Linked DNA regions of Stegostoma tigrinum. The protein of the gene in region 1 purifies or fractionates together with the protein of each later gene. This does not show direct contact. Links are inferred from orthologs where the notes say so. Each region holds a gene or a part of one and is shown on either strand. Other genes may lie near its edges.

Evidence for each region.
Region 2: the proteins of si:ch211-140b10.6 (region 1) and crcp purify together in Homo sapiens (affinity purification with mass spectrometry; 5 studies listed by BioGRID and IntAct, with this or other methods). This does not show direct contact. The link is inferred for Stegostoma tigrinum from reciprocal best matches to the Homo sapiens genes POLR1D and CRCP.
Region 3: the proteins of si:ch211-140b10.6 (region 1) and polr1b purify together in Homo sapiens (affinity purification with mass spectrometry; 5 studies listed by BioGRID and IntAct, with this or other methods). This does not show direct contact. The link is inferred for Stegostoma tigrinum from reciprocal best matches to the Homo sapiens genes POLR1D and POLR1B.
Region 4: the proteins of si:ch211-140b10.6 (region 1) and polr1e purify together in Homo sapiens (affinity purification with mass spectrometry; 3 studies listed by BioGRID and IntAct, with this or other methods). This does not show direct contact. The link is inferred for Stegostoma tigrinum from reciprocal best matches to the Homo sapiens genes POLR1D and POLR1E.

The regions. Positions count from the first base shown.
Region 1 is NC_081359.1:78,384,849-78,392,054, reverse strand, and holds the start of si:ch211-140b10.6 (protein POLR1D-like), read right to left. Parts: upstream 3,022-7,206; 5' UTR 2,615-3,021; coding exon 2,589-2,614; intron 2,311-2,588; exon of another isoform or gene 2,174-2,310; intron 1-2,173.
Region 2 is NC_081380.1:23,486,373-23,493,195, reverse strand, and holds the start of crcp (DNA-directed RNA polymerase III subunit RPC9), read left to right. Parts: upstream 1-3,823; 5' UTR 3,824-3,885; coding exon 3,886-3,893; intron 3,894-6,823. Other genes in the region: uncharacterized protein LOC132211035, read right to left, coding at 553-1,012, 3,687-3,703. UniProt on the Homo sapiens protein: DNA-dependent RNA polymerase catalyzes the transcription of DNA into RNA using the four ribonucleoside triphosphates as substrates.
Region 3 is NC_081357.1:19,879,691-19,887,226, reverse strand, and holds the start of polr1b (DNA-directed RNA polymerase I subunit RPA2), read left to right. Parts: upstream 1-4,529; 5' UTR 4,530-4,542; coding exon 4,543-4,752; intron 4,753-7,536. UniProt on the Homo sapiens protein: Catalytic core component of RNA polymerase I (Pol I), a DNA-dependent RNA polymerase which synthesizes ribosomal RNA precursors using the four ribonucleoside triphosphates as substrates.
Region 4 is NC_081356.1:12,667,294-12,675,247, forward strand, and holds the start of polr1e (DNA-directed RNA polymerase I subunit RPA49), read left to right. Parts: upstream 1-4,952; 5' UTR 4,953-5,027; coding exon 5,028-5,097; intron 5,098-7,120; coding exon 7,121-7,224; intron 7,225-7,393; coding exon 7,394-7,470; intron 7,471-7,954. UniProt on the Homo sapiens protein: Component of RNA polymerase I (Pol I), a DNA-dependent RNA polymerase which synthesizes ribosomal RNA precursors using the four ribonucleoside triphosphates as substrates.

The DNA.
Region 1 (7,206 bases):
GCCAGGAAAGAGGAGAGTGATATGGTGATAAAGACTAAAGCGTGCAAACAAGACATGCACATTGTATTCCCTGTCTGGCATGTGCCTCAAAGCTGTAGCCTCATCATTTCCAACTGTTAAACCTGGATAATAGTGGATCATACACTCCAAACAACTTAATTTGTTAATCCATTTCCTTATACTGATGCCACATCTTTAAGTGTTTTTTACCCTAAATTTATTACTGACTTTAGTTAGGTTGTTGCTAAGCATGCATTTGTAGTAAAGTTCAAGATTGCTAGAAATCAGTTTTAATTTTTGTCATGAATTTTAAACTGAGCTGTCCACGTTGCGTCCTGACTGATTCAAAAGCCCTCCTACAGGCTGTTCTGCTCCACTTCACTCTGGTGTTTCTCTGCTTTGGCCACACATTAACTGTAATTAGTGTCAGAGCAACCTCATGTTGACTCTGCAATGTAAATGCAGCCTCCATGTGGGTTAAGCACTGAACAGCAAATGGTATCTGGGTTCTAATATAAGACATAAGATATCAAGGCATCTAACATGGAGCAGTGAAGACAGATGTGTGGCAAGATACTTTTATGTTTTAAATTCCCTTCTTGCAAGGGAATTTAAACTTAAATGAAACAACTGCACTGTTGTAAAGTAAAACACCTGATGCACTAATGTTCTCTTGGGAAAGAGATCAACCTTAAACATTCAGGCTTACGTGTGAATCCAAATACACTGCAATGTAATTGACTTTTAGCAGACGTCTGAAAGTGACTAGCAAACTACTCAGGTGTACTCAAAAAAAGGTAGTTAACCACTAGCTTTTCAAGGGTAATTTGGAATGGGGAATAGCACTTCAGATTATAGCATTGACACATGGTTACCATGCTCTTTTGAACTAATTAATCCTTGTCTTAAAATTGGAAAATCTGCTGTGTACTGCAATCTTTCCATTTGGATTACTAAAATGACATAAAAACTGAAGAAAAAAAATCAACACCAACACAGACAGTCATGTTATCACATGAATGTATCATCTAATGGAGTTAATGGAAATGAACAAAGTAGACTTTGAAATTCAAAAAAATCTCAAGACAGGCCTTGAAAAGAACTGAAACAGATGTATGCAGATAATACAGCCCAGGGTGGCCAGATTGGTGCGATTTGCTGAGTTCCTTGCTGTGGTGTTGACCACCCCACAAATCTTGGGCATATTACACCTCGAGAGGTCTTCTAACCAACTTGTTCAGAGGTTCAGAGACCTCGAACCGAGGTCTCCTGGGCAGAGATATTGCACAACAGTTATGTCCCTAAGAACACCAAAATGTAAATACTGCCAACCTCAAGTTGCCCAGCCTTGGAGTAGACCAGGGGTGGCACATTACGTAAACAATAAAAACTGCAAATGGTCAAGCAAATACATGTTACTTGGACAATGTCATAGTGGGCCTTACATCCCACATGAAATTAAGTAATTACTATGTTCTGAAGAAGGGTCACTGGACTCAAAACATTGCTTTCACTCCACAAATGCCACCAAATCAGTTGAGTCTCTCCAGCTCTTTTGTTTTTCTTTGCTTCAAATCTCCAGCATTCACAGTTCTTTGTTTCATTTCAGTTGCTATGTTAGGTGCTACAAGTGCAACAAATTCAGTTTAACTCTGAATAGACATTCCAAAAAAAATGCAATTAGGATACCTGTAGTGTTATTCCACGTGCTGATTTGATTTTCAAAATTATATGAGCAGTAACTGAAGGATCGTGATAAGCATAGTGCTGTTCATACAGTATGTTCCAGTTGCGAGGCTAGCGACATGGTAACGTCATTGATGGTAAAGTTGATTCAGAGATAGTAGGAATTGCTGATGCTGGACAATCTGAGATTACAAGGTGTAGAGCTGGATGAACACAGCAGGCCAGGCAGCGTTGGAGGTGCAAGGAAGCTAACGTTTCGGGTGTGGACCCTTCTTCAGAAAATGAAACGTCAGCTTTCTTGCTTATCTGATGTTGCTTGGCCTGCTGTGTTCATCCAGCTCTACACCTTGTTATCATGGATGGTAACGTGCCAGGTTTCTGAACCCTAGCATATTCTCTGGCATGTATAGTCAGAGGGCAGCCTGAATTTTATGTCGGCACTAGCTGACCCATAACCCTTGCTGAGGTTGTGGGCGGGAGGGGAATGGCCATGACATGCCAGATTTGCGAGGCGGAACACGTCACACCGGGCTGGTATGTTTTTTACAGATATACACATTCTGTATACAGAGTTGGGAATACGCTACGCCCGAGGAGGCCTGCAACAAACGCGATATCGAACAGGTAACCAGAAAGGTTTCTGATGAAGGGTCTATGCCCGAAACGTCAGTTTTTGCGCTCCCAAGCTGCTGCTTGGCCTGCTGTGTTCATCCAGCTCTACACTTTGTTATCTCAGATTATCCAGCATCTTCAGTTCCCATTATCTCTTACACAAAATTTGAATCGGGTTTGTTTAGAGTCGGTTGCCAAGACACCGCACACAGGACAGGGCCAGTAAGCCCCTGTGCTGCTGATAATGACATTAACATAGTCTCTGGCTGAAGTCATTAGATATTGTTTACCTCTCGAGTTCGCCATCTTTCTCCATGACAACTTCTCGCGCGACTCTAACACTGCTCTGAAGCTCGCGACTTCTTCGGTTTCTTTTGAAAGCCGCGTCTCGGAGCGAGCCGCCGCGGAGACCGCGAAAGCCCAGCTTTTCCCCGCCCCTCCACTGTCCGCAGCAGGATGGCCTATCTCAGCCGCCTGATCATACGTGCTCCGAAAGAAACAGCTGACTGAAACATGGTCGTTGTGAATAATGACGGGAAATAACATTCACTTCCTCCAGGAAATTATTTTTGTCTCTTCATTTCTGTCTCCCCTTCGTAAATACAAACCACCTACAGCTCTCCCCATTCGTGCAGGCAACGTTAAGAGACAGAAAGGTTTCCTCAGGTCGGCTTCACACTAACTTGCTGCAATTTTGGGGGTACAGGAGGGGAAGCGGTGACATTGTCGTGCGCTTTGATTGGTTTGCCTTTCACGCCTGCCTTCGTCGGTGGGCAGATCTTTGTGGCATCTCGAATTGTAATTGGATGTCTGTCCTGTCAATGTGGCTCCCCGACTAAGCAAGTTTATTTGACTGGTAATCTTCTGTACAAATCTTGAACACTAAAACCGAAGTTCTCGCAGTGAATGTTCACCAATCGCCTTGAAACATTCAGTTACTTGCACGATTTCTTGGAATTGTATGGCGCTGTATGGTTAGTGTTTGCTGTCTGCACCACGAAAGGTAAAGTAAACGTAAAGGAAAACCCATTTGATATTTATTTCGCAGTTATTGGTATCTTGACGACGAAGAATCTTGGAGGGAGTGTGTGAGAGAAATGCAGGCGCCTCCTACCCCTCCCAACTCAGTCTTTTTAACGTGAAATCTTCCTACTCCGGTGATTGATTTATTTTTCCCATACCGCTTCGCTGGTATAAATCAGAGTCTGCAGGAGAACGTTTTTGATGTGACCGTTATCTGGGAAGCTGCTGGATTGAGATGTGGGGAGAGCCGCTTGTTGCATAGATTGCTGAGGCTGCTTTGATATTTGACTTCGTGCATTTTAGACGTCTCGCCATGCTTTCAGGAGTGTTTGTTATTGCGCTCAGAAGGGAGACGTATGTGTATATTTATATATATCTATATGTGCTTGTTTATGGACAACATAAAACCTGCCACTCTGAGAGCACTAACAAACAGATGTTTAATTGATTCTGTCCACCACCTGCCCGTTTTCCAGTATCCGCAGTAATTTGTTTTTGTAAAGGCGAATAATACGTTGATATTTAACAATGAAATTTCATTTCACCGCTGTAATATTGATGTACTTCTCGTTAATCTATTAATTTGTTCAGTCGTTCAGGTCGTTTTGTCCATGCATCAAGTATTGACTCAAGTTTCTATTTAACCTTGCAAATATTTGAAGTAGAAGTGGTCAGTTTAGAAAACGTTCTTGCGTTGGTAAAGTGTAGAGCTCACTTGTTTTGTGATTTACTTATATTTTTATGACATCTCAACAGCAATCATTTTAAATTAATGGAAAAGCCTAAGATAAGCAGTTTTTATTTAAAACAATTTTAATCGTATGTTTTTTACGTCTTTCGAATTGAACGATTTTACTATTGATTTTTAAATACTGCCATATTGTGTTTTTTTAATAAAAAGTCATTTTTACAATCACTTAATAATTCTGGATTGAGTTTTGTTTGTGTACTTTTAGCAAAGAAAAATATCTGAATGTTTTGAATATGTTTATTTTAATTTGAAATGTTAACACTTTGCGCACCAAAAATTTCATTTAAGGGGTACTTGTGAGGATGTTAATTTATATATTCATTTTTGTACTTAGAATTGCTTTGTTCAGCAGTAACAAAATTGATCAGTGAAACCCCCTGTTATTCTGTACTGTGATGTACATATAGCTACTAGAAATCCTTGCAATTTTTGTAAATAAGAAACAAGAGATATATATCATTGTTGGATCAGTGGGATCAGATTTGTCTGGAACAAGGAATTTGCAGTCTCCCCCATTAGCTTGATTTGCAATTGCAAGTTTAGTTTTTTTGCCGTCAAATTACTGGAAGTGCCAGCTGATAATAGTCCAGTGAGATCAAAAAGATAATGATACCTTGCTGAACACTGGGACAATTTATGCACCTCTTTAATTTATGAAAGTAAATGACTGAAATAAATACTGATTTGATGTCATCTGGTTTCCATAAGTTAGCAATAATAGCCCAGATCTCCTGGTCTTCATTTACTTATTTTCTGGAGTAAGCCCAGTCTGTATGTTATTGAATTCTTTAGAAGTCCCAGTGGAAGGACTCCACCGGACTTGATGAATCTGAACTTTTGGTCTGCAATGCCTTGTTTCTGGGGCCCTCCGAAAATGTTTCCAATTCTCAGGTATAGTAGGAGACTTTTTGGATCATATACATCTATTTGCTGAACACTTACCCAGGAAATGTTGGAACAGGACAAAATCTGGTCTCACTCCTGGGTAGCTATCCAACTGTCTCCCCAACCTTACCTCCCAGCCACTTACACTGATTTCCCCCCAGTTACCCCTGCAACTGTACAAGCTTTCCTCCTGACACTCCAATTACCCTGCCTAATCCTCAAATCACCCTGACTCATGCCCAACTGACCCAATCCATTTGTTGCCAACCTGACTACCTTCATACCATCTTGCCCACTGTTCCAAGCTATCCACTGCATTCATGTGCTACCGTAACCATTCCTCAACCATTTGTCTCACCTACCATACATCCACAGTAAACCTATCCCCTTAACCACCTGACCGACCACCCTTACACTACAATTTTACCCCACCCACACTCACCCTCTTTCACACTTACCTTTCTTTCTGTGCTCTTCAGGGAAAGGTTGGAAAAGTTAGCTTTGCAGAACACAGCTACTGTGCATGTCTTATCTTGACAATCCAATGCTACATTTAAAGCAGTTCCATTTCAGACACATTCCAAATTTCTGTAGAATCTTGAAACAGAAGCAGGGCCAGAAAAGTGGAGCTCTGGCAAGTTGGAGAAAATTATGAGTGGAGTGACAATATAACAGCACTTGCCAATCCTCAAAAGACTCAGGCCGATTACACTTTAGATTCAAGAATGCTTCAACTTTATTGCATTTTTTCTTCTTTCAGCTCCCCATATGGTTGTAGACTGACAGACTGATACATTGTTACTCAGCACATGACTGTAATGTGACTGAATGCAGCGCCTTTAGATATATATTTATATAACAAGTTCTTTATGAATAATCTAAATGCATATCCTCCCTCTTCCTCGAAAGACTCTAAGCAAATATAACAATCCCAACAATTAACACTTTTTCTATTAACTACAGTAGTTTGATAATTAACTTTTATAAATAAATTGAACATACAAGAATATTTTATTGCTCAGTTTATACTGTCTGAAAAGGATTATTTGTGACTTTATTATGGCTTTGGTGATGGAATGTTGTGTGTCCATCTTGTGGTTTCACATTCATTGTTTTCAGTAAAGAATGGCCATGCATTATTGTTTTTGTTACTCCTGTTGTGTAGTAATTGTACTCTATGTTACTGATATTGTGTCAGTTGCTGGCATTGTTGATGAAGTTTTCTGCATTTCCAGGTCAGGATTCTGGAGTTTCATGTTGGGATTCTATATATGTACAGTTTTCCCTTGCAATTACTTAGGCATAGATGTAACATTTTTGTTGAAGTAATGGCCTCCTCCTACCTGTGATTAAGTGAATTGACCAAGTGACCAGGAAGAAGTCCTGTACTTTCTTTCGTTCAATTACTCTAGAAGTAATTTTGTGAAAACTTCTTGAGTTATAGATCAGTGTGATAATAAGTGTGTTGGTGTCTTCCTTTGTTTCTTGAAGGTTCCAGTACCCACCTGGACATGTTTATTGGTAAATCTTTGTCCTGTTTGGAAATGTGGTACTGATGTTGAAGTTTGTGTAATACTGTTGGTAGTTTTTAAATGTTCTGTTTATCACATCCTTCATAATAGACTCCCATTATTTTTCCTACAACTAATGTTAGGCTAAATTCCACTTTTCTCCCTTCCTCCTTTTCAAAATATTGGGGTTACATTTGCCATCCTCCAATTTTCTGGGACCTAATTAGAATCTGTAAATTATTAGCAGATAACAACCAACATATCTGCTATTTCAGTGGCCAACTCCTTTAGTACCCTGAAATGTAGATTATCAGGCCCTGAGGAGTTTTCAACTAGCAGTCCCATTAATTCTTCTTGAAATATTTTCCTTCATGGTAATTTTTGTCAATTATTCATACCCAAAGGACCCTTCTTTCCCTAGCACTTCTGGGAAGTTTTATTTTCTTGTCTTGTATGAAGACAGAACAGAAGTTGTGGCTTAATTGCTCTATCGTTTCTTCTACTCCATGACCAAATCTCCCATTTCAGATTGTGAGTTTGTCTTCATTTGTCTTCACTAACCTTTAACCTTTTTCATTTTACACGCTTACAGAAGCTTTTACAATCCACTTTTATGTTCCTTACTCTCATGCTCTATTTATCCCTCTTAATCAAACTTTTAGTCTTCCTTTGATGAATTCTAAACTGCTCCCAGTCCTTGGGCTTGCTACTTTTTATCAGGAACTTCATATGACTCCA
Region 2 (6,823 bases), on another chromosome or scaffold:
CCCCTGAGGTGATGATGTCATGAATGGTGTTGGAGATGATGGTTTGGTGCTCGGGGGTGGGGTCATGATCGAGGGGGCGGTAAGAGGTGGTGTCGGAGAGTTGGCGTTTGGCCTCGGCGATGTAGAGGTCAGTGCGCCGTACTACCACTGTGCCACCCTTGTCTGTGGGTTTGATGGTGAGGTTGGGGTGGGAGCGGAGGGCTGCCCGTTCTGCGGGGGAGAGGTTGGAGTGGGTGAGAGGGGTGGAGAGGTTGAGGCGGTTAATGTCTCGGAGGCAGTTGGAGATGAAGAGGTCGAGGGAGGGTAGGAGGCCTGGGGGTGGTGTCCAGGAGGACAACTTGTGTTGGAGGCGGGTGAAGGGGTCAGTGGAGGGAGGGTTAGGCTCCCGGTTGAAGAAGTAAGCGTGGAGGTGAAGACGGCGGAAAAACTGCTCTATGTCCAAACGTGACTGGTATTTGTTGATGTGTGGTTGTGGGGGGACAAAGGTGAGCCCCTTGCTTAGGAATGACCGTTCATCCTAGTCAGTGGGAGGTCTACAGGGATGGTGAAGACTCAGCAGGGCTCTGTGTGGCTGTCTACTCTGGGGTTCCCGGCTGTTGAGGTTGTGGGCGGAGCGATGAGATCGTCAGCTGTGGGCGGGGTTCCGTCGGCATCAGCCATGGGCTGGGTTCCGTCGGCAGTGGGAGGAACAGGGTGGGCGGCGGCAGCAGCGGTGAGGGTGGTGTGTGGTGTTACAACTGGAAGTGGAGGTGGTGACTGCCGCAGCAGTCGCATCTGCGGTCCCAGAAGTGGTGTGCCCAGCGGTGGCAGATGTGTCGTCATCGGTGGGGTCTCCGGCCATGTCCTCATGGTCAATGGTGGCGGGTGCTTGGTGGGGGAGGGGCAGGGACTGGCTCGGGATTTGGGAGGTGCAGGAATCCTTTTCAAGGTGCCAGGAGCCAATGAGTTTGTAGTACTTACGATTTTTGGAGTCCAGTAAAGCTGAGTAGAACTGGTGTTCAGTCTGTGGATCCTGTGGAGGATAAAAAACAGGAGAGGTCCTTTGCTGGTCTGGGAGAGGGAGGCTCTGAGCTGGGGCAGGCTGGATTGCAATGCCTGGAGGTGCCGACGCAGGACTCGCAGGGAGAAACGCTTCTGAAGGGTCTGAATGCTCTGGGTGTAGAGGTGGTCACGGTTGGGGCAAAATTGGGAAGGCTTGAATGTAGACTGTGGTCCATTGGGGATGATCCAGTTCCGTAGGCAGGTGCTGAGGAAGGTGATGTGGCTGTGGTACCTGGTTTGCTTCACGACATGGTCGAGCAGTTTCAAGGATGAAGAGATTGCAAGAGAGTTGCAGTGGGAGAGAGATTCCCTGAGGTTGGTCCGGAGGGAGGAGGGTAACTTCTTCAGGTTAGGCATCCCTGGAAGAGGCCTCGCAGTGAGGTTAAAATTGTATCAGAGATAATGGGAACTGTAGATGCTGGAGAATCCAAGATAACAAAGTGTGGAGCTGGGTGAACACAGCAGGCTAAGCAGCATCTCAGGAGCACAAATGCTGACGTTTCGGGCCTAGACCCTTCATCAGAGAGAAGTCTGTTGAGGTGTTCGTGTATGAGAAACTGCCATGGGCATCCCAGTTGCATTAATCTCAACTTCTACCATAAGAAGTGCACTCAGTTAGTTTAGTCAAGAGAAAAGTGTGCTACGTCAGCAGTACTGGCACACCTTGTTGATCCTTACTGTGGTTGTGATTACGGAAAAGGATTCAATGTAATGAAATAATTAATGTCACATCCACAATTCTAACTATTGATGGCTTTAAGATTCACAAATAACGAAAGGGGGGGTGGACACATTTGAAATAGAACAGTTTGAGAACTGTCATGCAGGCAGTGGGGAAACAGAGGAAACATTATGCCTTGTGCACTTCCTAAATTTGCTCATTCACTTTGGAAAAAGTGAGTTTAGGTCATTGGACCTCCAGTTTGAAGGGATCTAACAGAAAATTGGCTGAACAGATGGGCCTAGCTCCCTTTCCATCCTGCTTGCTGTGTTGACGGCTCAGCCAGACCCGTGGAGCACCTCACAAGGGTTAGATTACCCTGGTCCTTCTTAACACCGAAGGCAGTACCTCTCCTCCAATTCTCCTTCATCAAGATCCCATCTGATAGGAGGGTTATTCTTTTAAGGGTGCAACATACCACTCCAATTCAAGAATCCTTGAGTGACTGTACTGGAAAACATCCCCTAATCTGTCTACCAGAACCAAATCTTGAGGACTACAGTGCCTGCTCTATGGTGGCCCTGGTATGGCGACAGGAGGCTGCTGAAGCATTTCTGTGCCTCAACTGGTTTCATAATAGTTGTTAGCAGATATCTATTTAATGGATTGCTGCTGGAGAAATGAGGCTCTCTGCCTGATTAAGTGATTCTTCAACCAAAGTGGACTATAGGATTCAGGAAGCCCAGTTGTGTTGGTATACCAAATCGGGACATCACCTTGGCTCCCTCCCTGCCTTGTGCACAACCGCTCGATATGCCTTAGGACTAAAGGCTCATAATTAGTGCAAAAATAGCTGCTCATTATTGTTGTTTATCTCCAAATCTAAGCTGCTCAGCTCAATATCCAAAGATGGCTTTTCCTTCCTTCAGAAGGCTGATCATAGCTGCCCCCGAAGCGCACTAACCCTTGTTTGGTCGCTCCCCCCCCAATAACACTATGAGGCTGCATACTCTATAGCCACTCCACCTCACTAACCATTCCACCTTTTGTGCTAATCTCCTACTTCCCCACACACTCCTATAACATTGAACAAAACTTTTTAAAAATCACATCTGAAGTGGGGCTTGAACCCAAGGTTTCTGCCCAGATGCAGGAACGCTAGCACGGCATGACAGAGCACCCATATATTTGCACAGATTTTCTAATCTGCCAGTTAAGAGACGTGACTGTACACTTCTGCGGCAGGGGAGACTTCAACCTAGGCCTCCTCACTCGAGCCCACATCACATCCTGTAAAATGTTATTTTCTCGTTAAATTACTTTTGATAGAGACTTTAACCAACCTACCTAGATGTGTTATGATAGCCCTGGTACTGAGGCAGCACCTGTCTGCAGCAGGTAAGATTTGAATACAGGTCTTTAGGTCCATAGGCAGAGGCATTACTACTGCACTACAAGTCTCTCAATTATACTTTTACACAATATTTTTCTAAACAACCTGTTCAGATACATTATTACACATCTGTGGAGCAGGGAAACTTGAACCTGGGACCAATAGTCCAGCAACAGGGACACATATCTTTACAGGTCCAGAGGTGCCATCACACACACACACAAACAAACACCACCAAATTACCATAACTTTCTTTTTTACCCTGCACCTTGTTTATACCCAGAAGTGCTATCTCACACAACTAAGTGACCTTCCCACTACTAAAATCACCATGACTGCTTTTTTTTAAAAAACTTACCAACAACCACCACCAGTAAAGTAAAACACCCGTTTTAGATATTAGATGCTTACAAGCAAAGGCCATTACTGGCGATGCAAACCATCTAAACGGGGGGGAGGTGGATGGGGAAGGGACTAAATCAAACTGGAGTTGCTGGAAGAAATGAAGAAGTGTATACCCTGCGGCGCCCACCTCTCTATAACGTCATGGAGTACACTGAAGAGACACCCAGCCATGAACCATATTCTTACACATTATTTCTATCCATCTGGTTCGAATACCTCAGTTGAAGCAGTTCCCCGGCCCAGAACCAGCTCCCGCTCAAGGCCGCGGCTGGGATTCATGACCGGAAATCACGTGGGCCTGTGCGGCCAGTTTCTTCCTCCGGTGAGAGGTCGGAACCAAACTGCGGTGGCAGAGCGGCTGTCAGGGCCCGAGAGCGGAAGCAGGATGGAGGTGTAAGTTCTCTTCAAATGTTTGCTCCAGTTTTTAGATCAACGTTGCCTCATCAAAGTCACTAGCAGCGTTTAAACGGAGTCGGGTGTCCGGCACGGGGAGAAAAACAGAAACTACGGCTCTCTTCATAGCTTTTCAGTCTGTCTTTTGGATTTTTCGCTGATTTTAGAAAACCCGCCTTCAGTCTTTTTCAACACTTTTCTTTCACAACAGACAAAACTCGTTCTTTTTGGTTGTCCTGTGTATTTTGTGCAAATAGCCCGATTTTTGTTTTGGTGTGAGTCTCTTATGTCTGCTGAATGAATAATTCATTTATGCAGCTCGGGAAGTTTGGCCAAGCAGTGATGGTTTGTGAGGTTATGAATTGTGCGGCAATTAAGAACGAAACATAGGATAAGTCTGGTTGGACTCAGTACCTGTGTCTTTTATTTTGGTCCAGTATGTTCAACGTGTGGCAGACCATGCGTGTGGTTGAAGGGACAAGCAATGTCAGTATCGCAACACGTTAGAGCAGAAAGAGCAGGGGCCGCAGAGGAGAGATGGTGCAGCAGGAGGTGTTGAAAATAGAGACTTTAGAGCAGCTGTCAATGTGAGAGTTTGGAACAGGGAGTGTGATGAGACTTTCAATTGCAATGTTCTCCGTATAAATAATTTACTTTGTCTCGCATAATTGTGGGAGGGAGGCAAGGGCTTGGGGAACGGGGAGCTGGGTGGTGGCGGGTATCTGTCGACGATACGTTGATCTGATTGACCATATTATATGGGAGTAAAACTCCGTTAATTTGAATATCCTCATCATGACCTGCTTATGTCTCCCAACGTTCTCACATCAATGTTCTGTAGTAATCGCAGTATTAGTGATAGTCACTCACTTCCCACATGTTTTTCTTAGCTCCCTTTTTTAAAAGAAAGCATGATTTTTGTATCTGTCAGCTACTTCCGTTTTCTCCACCGCTTTGTCCATGGCCGTTTTTCTTGATTTGTGTCTGTCCACGTGAGGAATAATGTAGAAATGCAAGTTATGTACTGTGTGTGGATGCATTTAAGGGGTTTCTCAGATAGCAGAACGAAAGCTTAGAATAGAATCACTACCGCGTGGAAACAAGTCATTCGGCCCACAGAGTCCGCACCGACTCTCCCGAGAGCATCTGAGATGATGGGAACTGCAGATTCTGAAGAATCCGAGATAACGAAGTGTGGAGCTGGATGAACACAGGCCAAGCAACATCTGAGGAGCATAAAAGCTGACGTTTCGGGTCTAGACCCTTCTTCAGCTGCACACTTTGTTCTCCCGAGAGCATCCTCCTACCTTATCCCTTTAACCCTGTATTTCAGCACGGCCAAGCCATCTAACCTGCACAACTTTGGACTGTGGGGACGAAATCTTCGCAGACACGTGGAAATCATGTGAACTCCACATAGACAGTTTCCCAGAGCTGGAATTGAACTTGGATTCCTAGTGCTGTGAGGCAGCGGTGCGGATCATAGCCATCGTGCCGCCTCCTGTTCTTAAATTATATCGGGGATAAGTGCACATGAAAAATTCATTTTTTTTGAGGGAAGAGACAATCTTACAGCTGTCTTGTGGAGCTAAAAGTGAAGAACATCGGGGGACTGATGGTTTGCAACGCGATATTTTTTTAAAAACTCCAATGTTTGATCCCATTTATGATTCTATTGATAAATTAGACTTCTCATGTTTATAAAGTAAGTTCATATATAATTGTATTGGGAATTGATTACTGAGTAACTGTAAACTGCACCAATTTCAATTGTGACAATCGGGTTTTCTACCCTTTTATACACAATATATTTTTGACAAGTGCATCAATAACCAGCTGACAGTTATACACTGTCCTGATTATTGACTTATCCAGTATAAAATTTTAAAATGTCTTGTAGAAAATCCTCTGTTTGAACATCAATTTCCACCGAAACATTTCAAATCTGTTGTGGATGAACAGTCTGGGCGATTCTCCCTGAAGTGTCAAGGCTGAGGGGTCACCTTTTATAGAAGTTTAATAAATCATGAGCACTGATAGGGTGATTAGTCTTTTCCTCGGGGTAGTGGGGTCTAAAAGTAGAGGGCATAGGTTTAAGGTGAGAGGGGACAGATTTAAAAGGGACTTAAGGGACAACTTTTTAATGTAGAAGATGCTGCATTTATGGAATGAACTGCCGGAGGAAGTGGTGGAGGCTGGTACAATTACAACATTTAAAAGACATCTGGATGGGTATATAAATAGGAAGGGCTTAGCGGAACATGGACCAAATGCTGGCAAATGGTGCCAGTTTTATTTGGGATATCTGGTTTGTATGGACAATTTGGATTGAAGGGTCTGTTCCTGTGCTCTACAACTCTATGACTCTATACTATAGCATTTAGTACAAGCACTAAAGTGAACATTTGTGAATAAATTAACTTTTATTATTTATACCGTACAACAAAACAATCCCCTTTTTAAATACAAGATGCTAAAATTAAAGAGCAGAGAATTGAAATCTTTTATCGTAGTTTGGCTTCCACTAGTTAATGCCACCCCTTGTATTGAATGTTGACGGAAGAGTAATAGGAGCTTGCAATTCTTTATAGTGCTTTAATATCAAAATAAGCTCTAACAAATTTAGGTGGTGTAATAAAACAAAAATGAATGTTAAACTGAAGGAGATTTTAAAAGGATTGTTAGTGGGTCAAATTGAAAGAAAAAGAAAGAGAAAGAGGCATAGTTTAGGGAGGGAATTCCAGAACATGATGACTGGACAATTGAAATACATGGTTACTGATGTTTTACCAAGAGAATTGGGAGTGACTACACAAGTAGCCATTTCAGGGAGGTATCATATTATCAGAATTGATTCTGACATTGAGAGGTAAGGCCATGTAGGGATCTGAATATGAGAAGATTTTTAAACTTGAGGCTTTGGGAGCCAA
Region 3 (7,536 bases), on another chromosome or scaffold:
AGGTGTTTTCTCCCAGAATATTTGCTACAGTTTCTTGAGAGTGCACTGTAGTGTCATCTAACTCATCACAGGCAGATTATTGTGATGACATGTTGCTATTAGTGCATGTTTCTCAGTATCTAACTTCAAAACAGTATCATGAAAATAAAGAGTTACCAATGATCTCCTGTCTTTATTTTAATCTCCCTAATTTTAACTAAGTATTCTCAACAGTACTTGGAAAGTAACATTTTGACAGCCCAGTCACCCTGATCTCATGAGAATATTGTTGTAACAAAGAGCAAAATGCAGAAGCATCATTAAACCGGTAAGGACCTGGGAATATCATAACCCAAGTAGACTTCAATTACAATTTTAATACAAGCTATTTCCACTTGAATATTACAGAATTTGCAGCAAAATTCAACTTGTTTTCATACATCACGTTTCACTGCTCGGTGTCTCTATACAAGTGTGATGGTCTCAATATGAGTAGTCTTTGAGGTGTGAAAGGGTCTAGAGTCTGTTGGCAACTCGATTTGTATGCAAGTCAGAACACTATGAAGGACAACGTAAAACAGCCATTTGTCAGTATAAACGGTTGAATGTTGAGTCATGAAAATTACACCCTGTATGGGACAGCGCTCATAAGTATGAGCGTGTGTTCATAAATTGGGGATCCCTTGTACTTACAGTAAATGTTCCATGTTAGCATATAGCCTAATGATAAGATATTTCAAATTGAAAATGATGGAAAGTGCAATTGAAATAAATTATTCACTATACACCAATTTCTACGAGTTTCTGGATGTGAGTTTGCTCGCTGAGCTGGAAGGTTAGTTTTCAGACGTTTCATCACCATTCTAGGTAACAGATGTTACCTAGAATGGTGACGAAACGTCTGAAAACTAACCTTCCAGCTTGGGGAGCAAACTCACATCCAGAAACTCAACTTGAGCTACAAATCTTCTCCAAACTCGCTACCTTCTACTGAGTTATCTGAGACTGCATACTTATTCATAAAGTTTGTTTTTAAATAACTATAAATTATATCCACTTGACCATTACAGAATTTGCAACAAAATTCAACTTGTCTCTATTATAACATCTTCCAGTCGATACTGATCCATGAGGCAGGTGCATGCTGAGTTCCACCTTCACTTTTATGCTGAGTCAGCCAACTCTGAGCAGATCCATGTTAGAACTTCCCTGATATGTAAACTGTGTCAATTGAGACTGTGTTCTTGTGATAAATATGGCCTTGATCTATACCCATGTGGACATTGTTCTGACTCTGCAATTGAATGGAGCAAATTTTCCCATTTTCCCACCTGAGGCTTTAGCCACACAATGTCTGATGTCTGGAATTCCCTCTAAATTGCTCCACCATCTTTAAGATGGCCCTTTTGACCTACCTTTTGGTCACATGTTCAGGTATCACCTTATGTAGTTCAGTATCAAATTTTCTTTAATGAAATTTCTGTGAAGTGCCTTGGGATATTTATTACATTCATGTTAGCACCTTTAATGGATGTTATCAAGCCCAAATTAAACAATACTGAATTAATGCAATACAACCATTTACAGAAACGATCATGAACAGCCGTAGTGAAGAGAGGAACATCTCCCACCTGGTGCAGATAATTGAATATTTACAAGTTTTACTTCTACAAATATTGTGTAGAAATTCATCACAGACCAAGTACCAAATGATAAAGGAAGATAAAAAGATAACATCTGGTGTAGAAAATCTGTCCGTCAAATGCTATGGTATTGGAGGATCCAGAGTAATGAATAGTGTCGATCTTTATATGAGTCTAAAATAAAACAAATCACCACGGGGAGCACAAGTAATCAGGAGGGGTCGGAACATCAAGTTTTATTAGATACAGGCTGTTGAATATTGGTGTCCCTTTAAAACTAAATTTTCCTAGTATTTGCTGTATATAGCACAGGGTTTCATTTAAAAGCTAGGACACCTGTACCTTCAATTTCAAAGTTCTCATATGAAATTAAAATGAAAAATTACAAAAAAGGACATAATGCCATGAATTAGCATCAACAAGTATCTGGTACCAAACAAACCCTGTTGGTGGAAAAGCTCGGCAGATCTGGCAGAAACTGTGGAGAGAAGTCTGAGTTAACGATTTGGATTGAGTAACCCTTTCCACAGATTCTGCCAGATCTGCTGAGTTCTTCCAGCATTTTCTGTTTTTTTTTCTAATGTACAGCATCTGTAGTTCTTTAGGACCCTGCCAGTATATTGTTTTTGAAAATAAGTATTTATTCTCAGAAAGAATCGTAAACAAACCCTCAGGTTAAGGTGGGCAAGGGGACAATAGTCATGTAATGTCATGGATAGTTGTTCCATGGCCATTTGCTAAAAAGGTTCAGATTGATGGGCACATAGAAAATAATGTGTACCCTAACATGGTAATTCAGTTGGGTTGCTCTTATAAACCATGGCAACAAAATGGTAGATTGTGGAGAGCATTAGAACTTTGTTCTTGAATTAATATCTTTAAATTTAAGGCCTAGGCTATTGCTCTTTATAATCGGGAAAGATGTTCACATTTTGAACTTTATGACCTTTACAACAATGGAGAAAAATCTGGGATATATGTAATTGTATTTTAAATAACTGCACTGGTTTGCCTCTACTACATTGCTTGGTAGATTATTTTAAACATTTTTCATTGGGTAAGAATGGTTCTCCTGATACCTGTACCAAATTAACACTGATTTATAACTTATGTCCTTTACCTCCTTTTTTGGCATAATTTAGAGTCTTTTTAAGATAATATTTATTTTTTGTGATTTTTCAAAAAATTTCTTAAAGCACACAAGCTTTAAGCCTGATTAATGTTTCTTTGTCATTTCTCCCTTCTATGCTGAAAGTATCCTTTTCTAACGTGTAAAACTTTCTTAGTAACAGACAAAAGTGAACAGTTTTCCAAATGGATGAGGGATGCATGTGGATCAAATGCACCAATGTAACACAGATGATAAGATCGAAGGGTTTGTTGCATTGTATAGCCAACCTTGTACTATGATTTGTACTGTTAACAAATCTTATCAATAAAAGAAAGGACAGGGTGAAATTCATGATAACAAAGTGTGGAGCTGGATGAACGCAGCATCTTAGGAGCACATAAGCTGACGTTTCGGGCCTAGACTCTTCATCAGAAAAAAAACCATGGATTGGCAGCAACAATAGAAATTGCTGTCGAAACTCGGCATGTTTAGCAGCATCTGTGGGAGAAAGCAGAGTTAACATTTCAAAGCCATTGTCTCTTAATTGGAACTGCGCCAGATCTGCTGAGTTTTGCCAGCAATTTCTGTTTTTGTTTCCGATCTCCAGAATCTGCAGTTGTCTTTTTTTATTTTGTGGATTTACGGATTGAATTACATTCGTGAATGTAAAATGAGGGAGAGATTATGGTCTCCATAGGTTGACTCAATAAATACCATCAAAAAGTGCACAACATATGGAACTGTGTTTACAGATTATTTTTAATTTACACGACACCAGGCTATAGTCCAACGGGTTTATTTAATATCACAAGCTTTTGGAGCGCAGCCTCTTGCTCAGGTGAAGTGTGAGCAAAGAGCACACAGACCAATTTAGACAACAGAAATCAAGGGCAGAGAGTTAGAACTGGTGTGAGTCCAATGATAAGTCCCTGCAGGTATCCGAGAGTGATAGATGGTGTGAATAAAGAGTCGACAGCTGAATAACAAGTGAAGGGACGCCTATAATCCGATTATGAGGCAGAGAGATAATTACAAAACAACTAAACTAACTGGAAATAACAGGATAGGTATGGCAGTCACATGCTGAGGGTCTAAGCAAAATAATGAATATTTCCAATCTACAAACTAATTAAGGTAGAGATGGTGGCTCAGTGGTTAGCATTACAGCGTCAAAGTCATAGATTTGATTCTACCCTTGGATGACTGTGTGGGTTTCCTCTGGGCGCTCCAGCCTGCACCCACAGTCCGAAGATGTGTAGGTTTGGCCGTGCAAAAACTGCTCATAGTTTGCAGGGAAGTGCAGGCTCGGTGGGTCGGCGATGGGGAATGCGGGGTTACGGGGATTGGATGGGCCTGGGTGGGACGCTGTTCCTGGGGTCCGTGTGGACTCGATGGGCCGAATGGCCTGCTTCTACACTGTAGGGATTCTATGATCATAACACTTTATCAAGGTGATGCTGTCAACACAGGACAGTAAGGAAGCACTCCACATCATGTTTCTGTTCGACGATTACAACAACTACATTTATCTTTTGATTTCGGCGAAAACAACGCCTTTTAAATATAAAGGAAATGTCATTACCTTCCAATCAACTAATTTGTTTTGTACATATTGTTGGAATAATACTCATGCAAGTAAAAGCTATCTGTTTAAAATGAATGAACATGAATTGAGGCACAATCCAAATGTCTTGAGTTGGGAACTCAGCATTGCATCCCCCTCCCTCCTGCGCACGCTCGGCGATCCTGAAGCGGAACCTTTATCGTTTGCCGTTGTTGCCCCCCCGATCCTTCTATCTCGTTGGACAAATGGCGGACAAGTGGAGGCAGCTGTGTGGCGAAGAGCGGCTCCGGCCGAGCCTGAAGAACCTGACAGAGCCGGGGCTGAGGATGGGGCGAGTGGGCTTGGACCCGGACCCGGAGCAGCGGCAGCGGCGGAGGGCATTGCTGGAGTTGGTCGCGGCTCACGTGGACTCGTTCGACCAGGCGGTGAGCGAGGGGCTGGCTAGGGCCGTGCAGGTGAGTGCGAGCCCAGAGCACGTGGGGCATGGGTTCGTGTCGGGGCGGGGGGGGGCGGAAACGGAGGGCAACAATGGGGCACGGGCACTGGGGGGGGGGGCGGAAACGGAGGGCAACAATGGGGCACGGGCACGGGCACTGGGGGGGGGGCGGAAACGGAGGGCAACAATGGGGCACGGGCACTGGAGGGGGGGGCGGAAACGGAGGGCAACAATGGGGCACGGGCACTGGAGGGGGGGGCGCGGAAACGGAGGGCAACAATGGGGCACGGGCACTGGGGGGGGGGCGCGGAAACGGAGGGCAACAATGGGGCACGGGCCCTGGAGGGGGGGGGGGCGCGGAAACGGAGGGCAACAATGGGGCACGGGCCCTGGAGGGGGGGGGGGCGCGGAAACGGAGGGCAACAATGGGGCACGGGCCCTGGGGTGGGGGGCGGAAACGGAGGGCAACAATGGGGCACGGGCCCTGGAGGGGGGGGGGTGGAAACGGAGGGCAACAATGGGGCACGGGCCCTGGGGTGGGGGGCGGAAACGGAGGGCAACAATGGGGCACGGGCCCTGGGGTGGGGGGCGGAATCGGAGGGCAACAATGGGGCACGGGCCCTGGAGGGGGGGGCGGAAACGGAGGGCAACAATGGGGCACGGCCCTGGAGGGGGGGGGGCGCGGTAACGGAGGGCAACAATGGGACACGGGCCCTGGAGGGGGTTGGGGGGGGTCACGGGCGGCAACAATGGGGTACGGGCTGGAGGGGCCGGAGGGCAACAACGAGGCACGGACCATGGAGCGGGGGTGGGGGGCCGGAGGGCAAGAAGGCAAGAATGGGGCACGGGCTCGGGGCGGGGGACAACAACAATGGTGCATGGTCATGGGGGGGGGCAACAATGGGGCATGGGCCCTGAGGCATCAACATGTACAGGGGCAACAGCAGTGGCTATAGAGCAGGCATAACTGCATTGGGCCATGAGGCATGTAACGGAGCATAATAGCACAGGGTAGTTGGACCATAGAAGGATCAGCAACATGGACCTGGGAAACAGCAGCAGCTATAGAGGAGGCATAACTGCAGTGGGCCATGAGGCATGTAACGGAGCATAATAGCACAGGGTAGTTGGACCATAGAAGGATCAGCAACATGGACCTGGGAAACAGCAGCGGTTGGAGTATCAGTCTTAAGGATCTGGGCATTGGCAACATCGACCATGGTATGGGTGATGAGCAACAGCACCTTGCAAGGGATAATGGGAACTGCAGATGCTGGAGAATTCAAAATAAAGTGTGGAGCTGGATGAACACAACAGGCCAAGCAGCGTCTCAGGAGCAAGGCTCTTGATAGGCAGATGAGGAAAGGATGTTTTCTTTTATGGGAGAGTCTTGAATTAAGGGTTGCAGTCACCTATTTAAAACAATGATGAGATTATTTTTCTTCTCGGCTGTGCATTGGGAGCCTTAGAACTCTGTTTCTTTAAAAAAAAGTGGTGGTAGTGGAATTTTCAAGGAACCGTATGTACAATCATCTTGTGCTAGGTGATGAAAATCAGGGTTTGGTGGGAATGGGGATTTGGAGTTGTAATCAGGTGAGCTGTGATCTTACTAAATGGTGTTGTAGACTCAAGAGGCTGAATGGCCTACCCCTGATTCTAATATAGAGTCACAGAGATGTACTGCACAGAAACAGAAAGTGCTTTTAAATTTTTAAAAGACCTTGACTATTTACCCGATCCATGCTCCTCATGATTTTATAAACCTCTATAAGGTCACCCCTCGGCCTCTGACTGCAACAGGGAAAATAGCCCCAGCTATTCAGCCTCTCCCTATAAGCTTAAACCCTCCAATCCTGGCAGCATCCTTGTACATTTTCTGAAGAAGGGTCGAGGCCCGAAACGTCAGCCTTCCTGCTATGTTCATCCAGCTCTACACCTTGTTATCTCAGATTCTCCAGCATCTGCAGTTCCTACTACCTCTGAGATCAGAACTGCACACAGTATTCCAAATGTATGTTTATATGAAAGCAGCAACTGGACAGGGAGAATAGCTACATGAATCTGAGTAATGACATCAGAGGCATCAGAAACATGCTCCAAGGCAGCAGTAATATGGACCCTGAGCCACCACCCAGATGCCGGTGCTCTGAATTGCAAGAGCAAATGTCAGCCTGGGCCTTGGTAGCTCTTCAGTTGGTTGGGCTGGGCTTTATTCATCAGCCATTCCCACTAGTTTCCTTAATTACTGTAGAGATGTAGAACATAGAAGGGAACCACTTCTCCACTCAAGATTCTTTGAAGTGCAGTCAACATCCTTGCTGTTTTTACTCTTCAATTATTTATTGAATTTCTTCTTGAATGAGTCAAATCTCATCTTTATCTTCTTTGCTTCAAGAGGTCTCACACCTCCTCCAGTCTTTCTATGCAATTATAATCCCTCATTGTTGAACCTATTCTATTAATTTTTAAAATTCTGTCCAAAATCTTTGTAATCTTCCTTAATTGGACACAATGCTCCTGATTGGACAGCACTGGTATTTTATTTCGGTCAATTCTTGTATAATATCCTGGCATTTGTACCCGACAATAAAACCCAGAATCCCATATCCTTTCTTAACTGCTTTATTAGAGTCATAGAGATGTATACAGAATGGAAACTGACCCTTTGGTCCAACCTGTCCATGCTGACCAGATATCCAAAATAAATCTAGTCCCGTTGCCAGCATTTGGCCCATATCCCTCTAAACCTTTCTTATTCCTGTACCCATCCTTTTAAATGTTGTAATTGTACTAGCCTCCTTCA
Region 4 (7,954 bases), on another chromosome or scaffold:
ACCTTTGGGTGGCATCATTGTGGCACTGCAGGAGGCCCATGATGGACATGTCGTCTAAGGAATGGGAGGGGGAGTTAAAATGGTTCGCGACTGGGAGGTGCAATAAATGTTGGTTTATATCCAGAAGATAGGGTGATGGGAGGGGTAAAGAGCAAACGATACGTGGAGATAGAGCCTAGGGAGAGGGAAGAGACGTTGGATAGACAAAGAGGTCGATAACGATCAGGCTGGCAGGGTGAATAGCTGTTAATGGGCACTGTTAGTGACGAACAATATGTAGTGTGTAATGGCAGGCCATGTGATAACAAGGCCTAGTGTGTGGGTAAGGGGCCAGGACACTGGAGAGTATAGGCTCTAAAATGATTGAACTTAATATTGAGTCCACGGGCCTGCAGTGTCCCCAGGTGGAAAATGGGATGCTTGTGCTGAGCTTCACTGGAACACTGTAGCAAGCCTGAGACAGAGATGTTGACCAGGGTACAGGCAGGTGTGTTAAAGTGGCAGGCAACTGGAAGCCAATGGTCTTTTTTGTGGGCGGAGCGTAGATATTCTGCGGAGCAGACACCCAGTCTACACTTAATTTCCCCAGTGTAGAGGAAACCACTTTGTGAGCAGCAAATGCAGTAGACTAGATTGTATGAAGGTTTACTTGGGCCCTTGGATACTGGGGAAGGAGGAGGTAAATAGGCATGTGCTACACCTTCGGCAGACAGGAGGTGTCTGTTTCTTGGCCTCATCCAGTGTTCGTCCAGAAGGGATCAGTATTTTTTCACTTGCTGTCATTTCAGGATGTTGTGGCTAGTTATGGCTCTCCTATGTTCTGCTAACTTACTCAGCTGGAAGATAGAACTTGAGACCTCCTGCTACGAATCAGTGCAGCGTTGGTAAATTATAGGAGAGCTCCATTTTATGTTACTCTGTCCCCAGAGTGATCATACTCTAAGATCTATGTTCATGCGTGGTCTGTGGAACTGGAGCTATCTCAATTATGCAATTCACGCACAAGTCTGACAGTTGTAGAATTGTTTTTGATCAACAGGTCTGATCTTGCCATCAGCATCACAATTGTTTAAACTGTTTTTTAAAAGTGTGTCAAAAGGATAACAAATTTTAGTCTCTCTTGAATTTGTTTTTTTATTTCTTGAACACATTAAAAAAAGACATGCTTGTGTATTTGTGGTTGCAAGTCTGGCAGATCATTCCAAGCTTTATCACTCTCTGAATAAATACTTAAGATCTTTTTGATATCAGTTTTAACGAATTTTTAATTATGCCCTGCTGGCCTAATTTTTCTGGTTTGAAAGCTAGGCCCAAATTTTTCCTGCCAAATTCAGTATTGAGCTAGTATACATCCCTTGGAGATGCATGTCGGCAGCTAGGACCACAATGTTTGAGAATTTTTGTTCATAATTTTATGGAAGGCTAGGAAAATTTAACAGTTTAGCTCAACAACATGCTTCATGTCCTTCTGGATGAAGGGACGGGGGGCATTCTGGCGAAGTTTGCCGATGATACAAAGATAGGTGGACAGGCAGGTAGTACTGAGAAGGTGGGGAAGCTGCAAAAAGATATAGACAGTTTAGGAGAGTGGTCCAGGAAATGGCTGATGAAATTCAATGTGAGTAAATGTGAGGTTTTGCACTTTGGAAAAAGAATACAGGCATGGATTATTTTCTAAATGGTGAGAAAATTCATGAAGCAGAAGTACAAAGGAATCTGGGAGTGTTGGCCCAGGATTCTCTAAAGGTTAAGTTGCAGGTAGAGTCCGTGAGTAAGAAAGTGAATGTCATGTTGTCGTTTATCTCAAGAGGGTTGGAATATAAAAGCAGTGATGTGCTTCTAAGGCTTTATAAAGCCCTAGTTAGGCCCCATTTAGAATACTGTGTTCAATTTTGGGCCCCACACCACAGGAAGCACATACTAGCCCTGGAGCATGTCCAGCGGAGATTCACACGGATGATCCCCGGAATGGTAGGCTTAATGTGCAATGAACCGCTGAGGATCCTGGGATTGTATTCATTAGAGTTTAGAAGGTTGAGGGGAGATCTAATAGAAACTTACAAGATAATGTCTGGCTTAGGAAGGGTGGACGTTGGGAGGTTGTTTCTGTTAGGCGGGGAGACTAGGACCCGTGGGCACAGCCTTAGGATTAGACAGGGTAAATTTAAAACAGAAATGAGGAGACATTTCTGTGGTCAGAGAGTGGTGGGCTTGTGGAATTCATTGCCACAGAGTGCAGTGGAGGCCGGGATGTTAAATGTCTTCAAGGTAGAGATTGATAAATTCTTGCTCTCACAAGGAATTAAGGGCTACGGGGAGAGTGCAGGGAAGTGGAGTTGAAATGCCCATCAGCTATGATTAAATGGCGGAGTGGACTCGATGGGCCAAATGGCCTTACTTCCACTCCTACGACTTATGGTCTTATGGTCTTAATTGACCCATCCTTAAACCTAATTTACCATTTTACTTTAGCCAGCTCCATTTTCGTGCCTTCATAATTGTCCCGAATAAAATTTTAAAGGATAGTCTTGGGCTCACTTCTGCCTAGTATCATTCTGGTGAAAACCTTTGAAAATGCAACTGAAAAGTGAACAATTGGAAACTTAATTTCATCACTTACTTATTAAGGTGCAAGATATTGGAGACTTTTCATCTCAGACTTCACTTGCATCAGAAAACATTGTATATTATGAAAATGCTTCATTCAAGTTACAAGTAAAATGTGAAAGGAGAAATTGCAAAGTTGAGAATTTTTATAGCCTATGTGTTGCCTGTCCTTCTTTTTTCATCAGGAATATATTAGCCCAAATGAACTGAAAATCTTACAGTGTTGATTTTAAAAATGATTTGCATTCAAATAGTGCTTTTCATAGTCACCAATTACTTTACAGACAATTGAAGTACATTTGAAATGTAGTTATTATTGTCTGGTGGAATCTTGTGACTTTAATTTGTTGAAGGGTACCTGGAATCTCAAAACTTTGTTTAACTTAAACAAGGAAAACCTTACTGGTCTCCAACCAGATTGCAACATGCATTTGCTGGCTTCATTGGGTATTATAACAGGTGTTTAGTGGGGTTCTGTTGTGTGTGTAAATCTGAGCTGCACCCCACCCCCCTGCATGTAGCACAGGACCTCGCAGGTCACTGAGATTTGGTTACATTATTACCTCGGGATTTCCTTGTGTTTTTACTCTCCTCTGATATTTCTGAGCAGCACGACCAGAATTATCCAATTTGGAAAGTGAGCAGTTTCCTCTTGGAAACAGAAATCTGACCTGAATCTTGGCTTACAAAGTAATGGTAGCATAATCATCTCTCAGTCAGAGGGCTGAAGGATGAGTTCTCACTCCTGAGAGTTGATCACAAGCCTTGGTTGATACTCAAATGCTGTGCTTAGTAGGGGCTGTTTTTTGAAGTAAATGCTAAGTTGAGGCACAACATGCTCTATCAGATACATGTAAGAAATCCCACAACACTAATCATGTAAGAATAAGACGGAAAGAGTTGAGAGACTGGTTAACAATATCATGACAGCCAGGAAACAGAATTAGGCCATACCGTAAGCACTGTGTGCAGTTCTGGGTTGCCACACTAAACGAAGTGATTGCATGAGAGTTGAGTTTGCCTGGCTTGTAGTGAGTCAGCTATTAACAGAGACTAGAGCAGAGAAGTCTGAAGCGGGGGACATGGTTGATGTGTACTGAGTTATAAATGCAATATGGAGACAGAAAGGGCTGCAGGTGCTGGATGCTAGAGTCAAAAAATATGGACCTGGAAAAGCACAGCAGGTCAGAGAGCATCCGAGGTGCAGGACTCAGAATCCTAAAGGAGAGTTCTGATCCAAAATGATGAATGATGAATGATGACTTTCCTGCTCCTCGGATGCTCGCTGACCTGCTATGAAGGCAATACGATAGGGAAGATAGGAAGGAACTTTTCTCCTTGGTAAAAGGGTCAATAACCAGGGACACATTTTTAAATGTAAGAATCAGGTTTTAGGGAAGATCTGAGGAAAGATTTTGTACACAGAAGTGGTGGATATCTGGAACTCCCTGCTTAAAAGGGTGGTAAAGCAGGAACCCTCATGACATTTAAGAACTACTTCAACGAACACTTGAAATGCCATGGCAGAAAGGCTACGGGCCAAGTGCTCGAAGTTTGGATTAGAGTAGTTAGAGGCTTATAGTGTTGGAACAGACTCAAGGGACAAAGGGCTTTCTCTAAGTTGTTAAAAAAATGAGTCAGCTACAGAACTGACTTATTTCAGAGCACTGTAAGAATTTGTACATTAAAGGTGCTATATAAATGTAGTTTTCGTGATCCAAATCATCAAACTGCGATGTATTGAAAACTAAGAATGCTGAAAACCACAGCGGATCAGGCAGCACCTGGGGAGATCAAGCAAGCTTACATATCAAGTCTAGACGAACCTTCATCAGAGGTGATGTGAAGTGTGGAGGAGATAAGAGGGCTGGTGGAGAAAGGATGTTGATAGTGCAGATTAAATGATCAGAATGTGAGAATGGCCGAACAGTGGTGTGTCCAATTGCCAGACTGGAAAGAACAGAGACAGTCCTACTGGACAGGAGGGAATGGAGAGAGGACACGGTGACAGAGAGTACAACAACTAAAGGTAAAGCAAAGACAAAGTTTTCAGTTCAGACTCCACCATCTGCAGTAATTTGCGCCTAAGCTATGATGTATGTAGCTTTGGCCTCTGGATAGCGCTGTTCTGTGGGACTGTTGATGATGTTAATACTGGACGACGGTGTCGCTGGCGCCGGGCGGCGTGGGCTCGGTAGGTGGCGGTGTCGCTGGCGCCGGGCGGCGTGGGCTCGGTAGGTGGCGGTGTCGCTGGCGCCGGGCGGCGTGGGCCTGGTCGGTGGCGGTGTCGCTGGCGCCGGGCGGCGTGGGCCCGGTAGGTGGCGGTGTCGCTGGCGCCGGGCGGCGTGGGCCCGGTAGAAGTTAGTGTGCGGCCTGGTGTCGGCGTTTGCGGAGTGTTCGTCCGGTTGGTGTTTGTACTGATGGCAGCTTTCGGTGTGTGGAAGTACAGGAATTTAACGGAATTGGATCCGGAGCAGTCGGCGACACTCGGTAGCGACTCTGGGAATATTTGGATTAGTCAGGCAGCGCGGAATGGCTGGGAATGTAGATCCAAAGGCACAGCCGGGGAAACAAAACTTGCATTTGTGTAGCATCTTTCATAAGCACTTAGACTTTTCAGACCACTTTTGCCCACCGTGTACTTTTTACGGTATAATTACTGTCGTGCAGACGTGGAAAAGCGAAGCTTGGCTCATATAAGGGCAGTAGTTGAAAATCTGATACTGTGAGTGCTGGAAATCTGAAAAAAAAGTCACAGCGTTACAGATACTCTTTCATTTATTTATACTTTCGTTCTTGCATCTTTGGCATAAATATCTGGCATCTTTTAGTTGTACCAACATTTATTACCCACCCCTAATTGCCTTCAATAAAGTGGCAGAACTGCTGCGACTCCTGGGGTGTGTAGGTGCACCCACAGTCCTGCTCGGGATTTTTGACCCAGTAACAGCGATGGGATTATCACTATAGGTCTCAGTCAGGGGTCTGTGTGAAATGAAGTGGAACTTGCCGGCAGTGATATTCCCATGTACTGGCTGCCCTTGTCATTCTTGGTGGCCGAGGTCACTGGTTTGGAAGGTGCGGTTTAAAGGTCCTAGGTGAGCTGCTGTAGTGCATCTTGGAGATGGTGCACACTTCTGTGGCTGAATATTGCTGCTGGGGAGAGCTTTAAAGGTTGGATACTGGGCAAACTGCTTTGCTGTTGGTGGTGCCAGAGCTGTAGTCACCCAGGTAAGTGGGAAGTATGCTGTGGCATTCCTGACTTAGGCTTTGTAGACGGTGGACAGTCTTTAAGGAGTCAGAAAGTAAGCTTATTGCTGCAGAATTTCTAGCTTCTAATCTGATCTTGCATCCACAGTATTAAATAGCTAGTTCAGCTCAACTTCTGCCCACTGGTAAGTGCCAGGTTGTTAATAATGTGGGTCATTCCGCATTATGTAATTATCAGTGAACATCCCATTCCTGATGCTTTGATGGAAAGGAGCTCATTGAAGCAGCTGAAAATGGGTTAGGCCTAAAATGCTATCTTGAGGAATTCTTGCAGTGATGTCCTGTGGATGAGATAATTCACCAGGACGGCACAGTGGCTCAGTGGTTAGCACTGATGCCTCACAGCTCCAGGGACTTGGCTTTGAATCCAGTTTCGGGCACCAGTCTGTGTGGGTTTCCTCCCGGTGCTCGGGTTTCCTTTCACAGTCCAAAGGTGTGCAGGTTAGGTGGATTGGCAGTGCTAAATTGTCTTAGAATCCAGGAATGTGCAGACCAGGTGACTAGTCACAAGGAATGTGGGCATATGGTGGTTCTGGGTGGAAAGCTGTGCAGAGAGTTGGTGTGGACTTGATGAGCCAATGGCCGCCTTCCACCCTGTATGGATTTTATGATTAAATCTGGGCGTGCAAGTAGACCATTCAGCAAGACAATGGCTAATCTAATAATTCTCAACTCCACTTCTCTGACTGTTCTCCATAATCCTTGATTTCCTTACTGATTATGGCACAGGTGGACTTGCTGTGTTGTATCCTCAAAGCTGAAGGTTACATTGATAGCATGCTTAAGGAGGTGGCTACACCAAACGTTTATAGCATGCCAGCAGAACAGTGTGACTGCCAGTCCCTGTATAAATCCCCCACCCTCTCTCACTAACTAACTTTTTCTATTTTGGGTGGTATTGAGAGCAATCACTTCTCAGAGGAGTATGGCAGGAGCCAAGTTCATGCCATTCATGACTGGCTCAGCTGCACAGGGATTGAGGCAGAAGAGTGAAAGTTTAGTTGTGGTAGCAGATTTGATAGGTAACGGTTACAGGCAAATTCCAGATAAAATAACCATCAAAACTGCCAGATTATCATTTTGTGCTCCTAAGATGCTGCTCGGCCTGCTGTGTTCGTCCAGCTCCACACTTTGTTAGCTTTTGTACTCTTATCATTAACCCTGCTAGTTTGATGTGGTTGCTGAACAAAGATATCCCGTGGGCCACTAATGAAATTTATGACAACACTGTCCTGTTTTGCAGTTCAGTTTTCCAATGGGAAACTCACAAATTCAGAAAATGTGGAATTTCAGCTGCATAAAAATATACACAGAAATCATCCCCGGAAAAAGCATCAACTGATCTTGGTAAGGACAGGTGTTCTTCCGCAGTAAAACATTTACAACAGTTTGCTCCATAGTAAAACTGGCATGATTAAAGTTATTATATGATTTCTTTAAGCTACTTTAATAACATTGCTAGCTCATTGAAATTGTTTAACTTCATTTAAAATGATTCCTTTTTCATCCACTGTAGTCTGCTGAGACGGATAGATTGACTTACGTTGGAAATAATTTCGGACCAAGTGCTCTGAAGTGTAATTCGTTGTGCAAGTAAGTTTGTTTCTTTGAATCATTGGCAGAATTCGATTTTTAAAAAGTGCTGAAAACATGCAACAGGATTGTCAACATGTGGGAAGAAATAGGAGAGGTTGTGGCGACAATCAGACGCTCTCTTCACTTTTTGTACCTATTCACGTGTTGAATCCTGAGATTAGCTAGAACAAAATTGCCTTCCTTTCAATTTGACCAACTACAGTGTAAAGCAAGCATAATATCTATGTTAAATGTGAACAGCAGTGAGGAATTGATAAATATCATTTTTGGATAAGGTAGCTTAGACAAATGGCATTTCCCATGCCATAAAACACAAAGAGTAATCTTTTCCCAGATACAGCCACATTTTGGACAAAGAACCTACAAATCATATTTTTTCCATTCTGTGCAGTATTGGAATCCACCCAGCCGCATTGGTGGTACACAGTTTGATTGGTGCTAACCTTTGAAATGAAAGAGAAGGTATGTTCTATTGTTGAGT